Linked DNA regions of Macaca mulatta. The protein of the gene in region 1 interacts with the protein of each later gene in a biochemical or structural test. Links are inferred from orthologs where the notes say so. Each region holds a gene or a part of one and is shown in the gene's direction. Other genes may lie near its edges.

Region 1 (3,627 bases):
GATCCTCCTGCCAAGAGCTCTTGGCTGATTTTTGTTTGTATTTTTTGTAGAAATGGGGTCTCACCATGTTGCCCAGGTCGGTCTCAAACTTCTGGGTTCAAGCAGTCCTCCCACCTTGGCCTCCCAATGTGCTGGGATTACAGGTGTGAGCCACTGCACCCAGCCTTTAATACATAATTTTTAAAGTTTATATTTTTTGTGCAACATGGCCCTGAGTACAGACCAGTTTCTCATCTGGCAAAAAGCAACAGCTGTAGAAACAGAGATCACAGATCATGCTTCAGTATGGCCAGACTATGAGAGGCAGCCTTCCTAAGAGGTTGTCCCAGCTGCTTGTGACCATACAATGTCTCTCTCTTGAAATCTGATTCTACTTAACTGTAGCCACTTCAGTGCAGTACTGTCATTGATTGATCTACTTTATCTTTCTAACTCATCTTAGTATAAAGAGAAATATATCAGAAAATAATTTTCTCACGTGTGTTTACATGATTAAAAGGAAACAGACTAAGACATTTGTAATGAAAGGAAGTGTTCTTCGAAGCTCCCAGTTGATGTGAGGTCTGTGTTAGGTAATGCCCAGGTCTGCTGGCTGGCAGCGTCCTTCTCTGTGCTTGGATGTTAGGCATGCTTCATAGCCTTTTGGAATATAAATGGAAGAAACTGTATTGAAAGCAGAGGATGGGACCAGTAAAGGCATTTTATGTGGAGTGTAAGTGTGAATAAAAGTGCAAATGTGAGTGGCATGAAAGGCTCCTGCTGGCGTGCGTGGTTGGGTTGTGTGGCAGGATAAGGTCAGTTTGGAAGCGCTGTTGGGGCTAGGGAGTGGGAGCCCTGAGTAGCATAATAAGGAGCTGGTGCCTCAGTGTGGGGAGGTGGTCGGGAGCTGCTGTGGGCTTTTAGGTAGGTGACTGGAATGACGGAGCCCACTGCGCTGTGCAGTGGGGCTGGAGCTGGGGGAGACTGGCCGCTGAGAGGTAGAGCACGTAATGGGGGCATGAGACAGGCCTGGTGCAGCTGGATTCTCGGGGTGCAGAGAGGCACCCATGTACACCAACTAGGGGAGGTTCTCCTGTGATAGAGACAGGCCATGAGTGTACAGGTATCTTCATCCCTGGAGATGTTTCCAGCAGCCACTCTGCTCTGCCTGCTCCTACCGTGGCACTGTGGAGTCTGGTTCCATGATGATGGTGCTTTTGTTTTCCTAAGAGATGAGGCCACTTTCTTGCTGTGGGGAAAACGCAGGGAGGCGCCTGTTGCCTGGGCTGGGTGGGAGGCAGGAGCAGGTCTCTGGAAGGAGGGGAGTCTGTTTTCTCCCCCGTCCTCACTGCTGCTGATGGTGGAGCTGGTCTCCCTGGGAGAATGTGGCAGTCACTTAGCTTTGTTGAAAGCTTTCTGTCTCCTTGTTGGGAAAATAATGAGGTTGGATTAAATTCCTGGTTTTCAAACTTACTTTGTTGTTGTTTTTAAGCAGCAAAATCCCCTTTTTAAGTGACATGTTTATGGGCATACTAGTTTACAAAATAAGTTGGGAACCCTCCTGATTGGCCCTGGGTGGGAGAGGCGAAGAGACTAGAACCTTATGCAGCCGCCTTGTGCTCCTGCAGCAATGGCAGGCAACTCTGAGAAACAGGGTTGAGAACCAAGAGGTTAGATGACCTTTGTCCCTTGGGCATTCTGTGGGTTCTGAATGGAATGACAGGCCTCAGAAGGCCCTGGAGTCCTTGCTCCCCAAGCTGTGGTGGGTGGGTCATCAACCATGGCATTGCCCAGGAGCCCCCTGACTCCACATCACATTTGAATTTGAGTCCCTGGGCGATTCATCAAAGGCTGGAAGGCCTTCCCACCACATGCAGAAAGCTCTTCTGCCCAGTTGCTAGAAGAGAATCCATGCACCTCACGCCTGCGACCTCTGCAGTGGGAGCGCGCTGGGCTGGGCGAGTGGCCCATCCTGATGCCGGATGGCAGGGCTCATGAGGCACCTCCTTCCTGCCCCACAGGCGTCTCACTTCCACTGCCTGCCCTCAGAAGCAGCACTTCCACCACCCCTCTGCCTCTGTGGCACCTCTGCCATTTGGCTGGGTGAAAAGAGGTAGACAGAGGTCCTGCTGTGCTTTGCTTTGGTTTTTTGGCTTTGCCTGGAAACCCCGAGAATCCTGCAGAGTGTAGACTGAGATGCTGTGAAATCTCAGTCCCTAACTTGGGATGGGACTTTGCTGTTTTCCTAAAGGAATTGGCCCAAATAAGGAAGGAGGAAAAAGAGAAGAAAAGACGCCGCCTCGAGAACATCAGGTCTCTGAAAGGGATGGGCTACTCCACGCACGCAGCCCAGCAGGCGCTCCACGCAGCCAGCGGGAACCTGGACGAGGCCCTGAAGGTAGCCGCTCCCTCGGGGCCTCTGGCCTTGTCCTTGAGCAGTGGGTCCTGCCCAGAGCTCCCTCCATGGCTCTCGGGCGTCCTCCCAGGCTCACTCCTATGGGCTGGCCCGTCATCAGATCTGAAGGGCAGCTTTTTCCTGGGCTCCAGCCCCAACAGAGGCCATGTGAGGCCCCATGAGGCCCCATGCTCAGTGCCTGGCCCAGGCCTGGCTCCAGAACACGGTGCCTGTCCACACCAGCGGAGTCCACAGGCCAGGACTTGATGTAGGGTTTGTGTGTGCAGCAGAGTGTAGTGTAAACAGGCCGTTTCCACAGCAGAAAAAGAGAATGGTAATTCAACTTGCAGTATAATTGTTTGGCATTAAAATTTTAACTAAGTATCTAGTTTTATTTATTTAGTCCATAGTACATGTTGGCAAAGGGGAAGCTTCTCAAAGAACCCCTCAGGAGTGACAGCAGGTTGGGATCCAGACAGCAGTGACTTTACCTGGGCCGCTTCCTTCCCTGTGTTGGAGAAGCAGATGGAATCCTCAGTAGGGCAGGTGCTGTGCTGCGTCTCGGCAGCTTGGTATGGAAGCGCCCTCTGCCCTCAGCCCCACAGCTCAGTGAGAGACAAACTCAGAGCACGCGTGGTAGGGAGTCCCCAGGGGTGCACGGGAGGCAGGGGGCTGGCTGCGTGGAGGCAGCAGTCCAGGCAGATGCTGGGGCAGCATGGCAGGCAGGAGCTAGCTTAGGTTGTGTGCATGCTGGGGGCGGGGCTGGGGGCAAGATGGGGGTGGAGGCAGGTGGAGGGCAGGGCAGGTGTACTCGTTTGCCCTGCTGAGGTGGGTGTGGGTGCAGCAGGCACGGGGGTCCACCCTGCCTTTGTCTCTTATCCCTGCCCTGTTCCCTGGAAGGCTCCACAAGTCAGTACTTCTGTTATGATGTATATGTATATTTAATGTATACGTTAAATTTTAAAATTGTATTTGAATATCTACTTTGATTTTTTTGTGTTGGAGAAATATGAAGAGGTGGGAAATTCTGAACATCCGAAGGGACTGATGGGTCTCGAAGTAGATTGGAATTATAGGAGTAGCACATAAATACCTCCAGTCAACACAGAAGTATTGAGTGTTGGAAAGGAAAGTCTCCACAGACTCTTTTAAGATTAAGTATTGTGTGACGAAGAAACCAAGGGTCAAAATAACTCTACTACCTGCCTGATATTTTAAGTCTAGAGGACATGACACTTTCAAAGATCAATCAG
Region 2 (4,383 bases), on another chromosome or scaffold:
GCCAAAGGTCAGAACATTAGTTTCTAGACACAAAGGGGTCACAGGGACCTGGAGAAAGATCTGAAAGGAGAATAGCAGAGGCCAGTGGTTCCTAATGTATTCCATTAGGCACTCTTCTGCTTTTTAATTATCCTGCCTGTGTATTAAAAATTATGTCTACTCCACAAAATACATTTAAATAATAATTAATGTTTTCAATTTTATTAGCTATCTAATAAAAGCTTCATATAGAAGAACATGATTTATAGTAAGCTTTTGAAGTAGAGAAATGAGCTGTTGCATTTTATTACTCTACATCAATCCAGTACTTCTGTAAATTCGATTCTCCAGGACAGAACCTCCTAGAATAAGATGGGGTCATTTGCGATCTGTCAGTGAGTGAAGGTACAGTAAATGCCTCTGCAAACAGAGAAGATAACTTGGCATTTTAAAGAGCTTCCTACTTTGAAAAGATTTGAAGCACTTGAAAACATACTTTTAGGCTGGACACGTTGTCCCACATCTGTAATCCCAGCACTTTGGGAGGCCAAGGCGGGCAGGTTGCCTGAGATCAGGAGTTCGAGACCAGCTTGGACAGCATGGTGAAACCATGTCTCTACTAAAAATACAAAAATTAGCAGGTGCCTATTATCCCAGCTACTCGGGAAGCTGAGGCAGGAGAATCACTTGAAGTCTGGAGGCGGAGCTTGCAGTGAGCTGAGATCGCACCATTGCACTCCAGCCTGGGCAACAAAGTGAGACTCCATTTCAAAAAAAAAAAAAGCTTTTAAAAACTGGTTCCATAGCAATGCCCTGAGAGTTTGGGAGGGGGCAGTAGTTAATTTGGGATACGAGGAGGATCAGAGTGATGGAGTAAACTTCCCCGGGACAGGCACACCTTTCTTGTCTCCATCTAAGTCTCAAGGGTGAGGGAGAGAGAGCGGCACCTTTAGGTTTGTCTGAGATCACAGTGGTGAGGTGCATCCAGGAGTAAAGGTAGAGAAATAGAGGCCCCGCAGTGTGAGAGTGGATGTTGATTGCTTTGTGTGTTGAAGTGAGGAGTCAGCATTTAATTGTTGGCTTAGGATTGTTCTCAAGTAGTGGATTTGGTTTGCAGGTTCTGGGACAGGGTAGGACGTATGTTGGAGAGCTCAAGACCCAGAAATCCAATGTTATTTTGCAAAGGGAATTTTACAAGCAAAGTTTTCTGAGCCTGGAAGACACTTAGGAATCTTTTCCAGTCATCTCATTTTATAGACTGGGAAACCAACATCTAAGGAGATGAATGGATTTGCCCAAGGTAATGTAGCAAGTGGCCCTCCTGGGACTCTAACTCGTATCTCCTCTCAGTCTGAGGTTATTTCTCCTATGTCTTCTTAAGGCATGTTTTACACCTTCTGCCAGACTAGTCATGTCAGGCTCACAGTCACAGCACTCCACACAATGCTGACTGCCGTATCCTGCCTGGGTGCTCTCGTTCTTAGGACGGCCCCTGAGTAATGGGGTGCTCTTAAAGGCAGCATGAGAGGTTCAGCAAGCATTACAGGTCTTCACGCCAGTGAGGGCCCAGGCCACAGGACGGACAGTAATAAGTCAGAACTGGGAGAGGAGGAGTGGATTTTTAATCAGGGAAAAGTTTTCAACACAGAAAGACCATCCCTTTTGGAATGAGGATTGCAAATAGATTGCCTGAGGGGAGAAGTACGTAATCAGAAAGCATTCTTTGTTTATTAACTCCTGCCCAGCAAAAGTGAAAGAAAATTCATGGGAGCATGCAAGAACAAAGGGCACAGCAAAGCTGGACAAACACAGCAATCCAGGAGGGGATTTCCAATTCAACGCTGGTATATAAGCTGGAGTTAAAATCCTTTTTCTGTCTCTGGTTTCTGGCCCCTTGACTGCAAAGATGGCTCCCAATGCTTCCTGCCTCTCTGTAAGTTGGGATTTGATAAAGGGGATGGGGAAAGGAAAAGCACTTTCAAGAGTTGGGGAGAGATCTTAGAAACGGGGGATGGACAGTACTCAGGGCTCTGGGTGGCTGGGCAGGCATCCTTAAGGGGAAGAGGCTGGCATTGACATTTGCAGAATGGGAAGAGGGATTGTCTGAAGAGAAGCTGGTTATCTGGCTTCTGTGTTCTTTTTTTAATCAAACATTGGACTAGCTACTCTTAGGGATAAATGGTAGAAAAAAAAAGTGGGGGTGAGCTTTGTGTTCCACAGGGCTGGTGAGATTTGAAATTATGGAAACATTTTTTAGGGTTCTTAAACTTAATCTTCTCTTTCCTCTCAAAGGAGAGCTTCACAAAACTCATTTATCTGAAGTTGTTAATGATCTAACACATTACATTATATAAGAAAGTATGCACTATGGAGAGAACCTGGAATTAAGGCAATGCTTAACACAGATCCTCCAGTGAAGAAATGTCTGCAATATCTAGATTGGGAAAATATTTCTGAATGGAGTATGAGGGAGGTCTTCTCAGGCTTTCAAGTGGCCATTAGGAGTGAGTTTTCCAGTCTTTTAGGGTTTTCCAGCTATTGAAGTAAGACTTAGACATAGTCCCTACCTTCTGTGAGTGAGGCCTTGGTCTAATCAAAGGAGATCGTATTCTATATTAGATAGATATAAAAATACAAGAAATATAAATTAACAAGAAACATTGAACGTAGTGTCACTGTAATATGTAAGTTATTATTGTAAAGCAGTGGGAGATTAGAAAAAAAAATAACAGTTCAGTGATTATGTGCCCTACCCAGGATTTCCTTCTGAAGTATTGACAGAGGGTATCCTATTGCTGTATCTTATGAGGCTGTCATATTTTAGAAATTCTCTTTGACAGTTGTTTTTAGAGTCTGGTGTACATCTTTTGAAGCTCTGTATTTACTTTTTTGACATTTGACAAACTTTATCTGGATAGGAGAGGCAGGTAAATAAGGTGGAAAACCTTTAATTACATCTCGAGATGAATAAAGGTATGTTTTTTACATCTATTGAAATGCACAGAAAAGCGAAATAAAAAATTGTCAACTAAAAAAAATCACACAATTTATAAATTTAGAAAGGAGACTTCATTTCTTATGAAGGGTTATAGTCTGCAAGGTAGCCATTCTAACAAGCTGAGAAGCTCGGCTTCTGGTTGAAAACCAAAAGCAAGCTTTGTAGGAGGAAAGTGACACAGGAATTTATGCTGAAGGGGTTTGCTAAGTATACATATCCAATAGGTTATGGCAGAGGCAATGAATATTCATGAAGGGAGTCCTAATGCATGCATGTTGAATAAGCTTGCATGTTATATACCACCCATGGTCACTCTGAGGTGGAGACTTAACATTTAATTGCATTACAGTTAGGCCTTATACATGAAAAGGCGAAGCAGGGACACAAAGGCATTCAAATGTGCAGCTTCTGTAGACTAGCCAGAACCAGTCCATGGTCAGTGGTCTCTTATCAGGAGAAAATTACTGAAATCAGTCATTTGTCCAATTAAAACTGTAGTTATGGCTTGAGGAACAGGGGGTCAGTTAGCCTATGGATGAACTGTAATTGTTTTAATATTGTTCCTCTCGAGGCCAGTGCTTGTTTAGCTGCTACAGAAAAAAGAAAAATACTTTGTGGCAGTTAGAACATAGTTTATTCTTTAAGTGTAGGGATGCATGACTTAACTCTTGCCTATTATAGCCTTAGGTCTTGTTTAAAATTTGCTACAAAAATCTTATTGCCACCAATAATCCATTCTTTCAGTCTTATAATCTCTAACGTTGCTAGTCAGTTGTGTCTAAACTGCAAAAGGGAGAAGATATAATGAGGCATGTCCAGCCTCCTGTTTCATCATGACTGAGGTATTTTATTTATTTATCTTTTTGAGACAGAGTCTCACTCTGTTGCCCCAGCTGGAGTGCAGTGGTGCCATCTCCACTTACTGCAACCTCTGCCTTCTGGGTTCAAATGATTCTCATGCCTCAGCCTCCCGAGTAGCTGGGATTACAGGGACTCACCACCACGCCTGGTTAATTTTTGTATTTTTAGTAGAGATGAGGTTTCACCAAGTTGGCCAGGCTGGTCTCGAACTCCCAGCCTCAAGTGATCAGCTTGCCTCAGCTTCCCAAAGTTCTTGGATTACAGGTATAAGCCACTGCCCTTGGCCCAATGACTAAGTTCTTAAAATTTCTCTAGGGTCCCTCTGAGCAAGAGAGGGTCCGTTCAATTGGTTGGGGGCTCAGGATTTTATTTTTCATTCTCAAGATTGAAAAAAAGGTGTGATTATAAAGGAATGGGACAAATTTTCTTATTTGTGTTGCAACTTGGTAATTCCAAAGGAGAAGTTCCAAGAAAGAGAGGGACACTGGCTACTGAACAGGAGCTAGGAGACCAGATAGATAGCGGAAGGGTGGGAGCCATTGTGG

What was found.
Region 2: the proteins of NUB1 (region 1) and UBD form a complex in vitro, tested with the Homo sapiens proteins (6 studies listed by BioGRID, with this or other methods). The link is inferred for Macaca mulatta from reciprocal best matches to the Homo sapiens genes NUB1 and UBD.

What each region holds. Positions count from the first base shown.
Region 1 is NC_133408.1:190,801,087-190,804,713, forward strand, and holds part of NUB1 (NEDD8 ultimate buster 1), read left to right. Parts: intron 1-2,230; coding exon 2,231-2,377; intron 2,378-2,745; exon of another isoform or gene 2,746-3,627. UniProt on the Homo sapiens protein: Specific down-regulator of the NEDD8 conjugation system. Recruits NEDD8, UBD, and their conjugates to the proteasome for degradation. Isoform 1 promotes the degradation of NEDD8 more efficiently than isoform 2.
Region 2 is NC_133409.1:153,782,238-153,786,620, forward strand, and holds the start of UBD (ubiquitin D), read left to right. Parts: upstream 1-1,519; 5' UTR 1,520-1,885; coding exon 1,886-1,912; intron 1,913-4,383. UniProt on the Homo sapiens protein: Ubiquitin-like protein modifier which can be covalently attached to target proteins and subsequently leads to their degradation by the 26S proteasome, in a NUB1-dependent manner.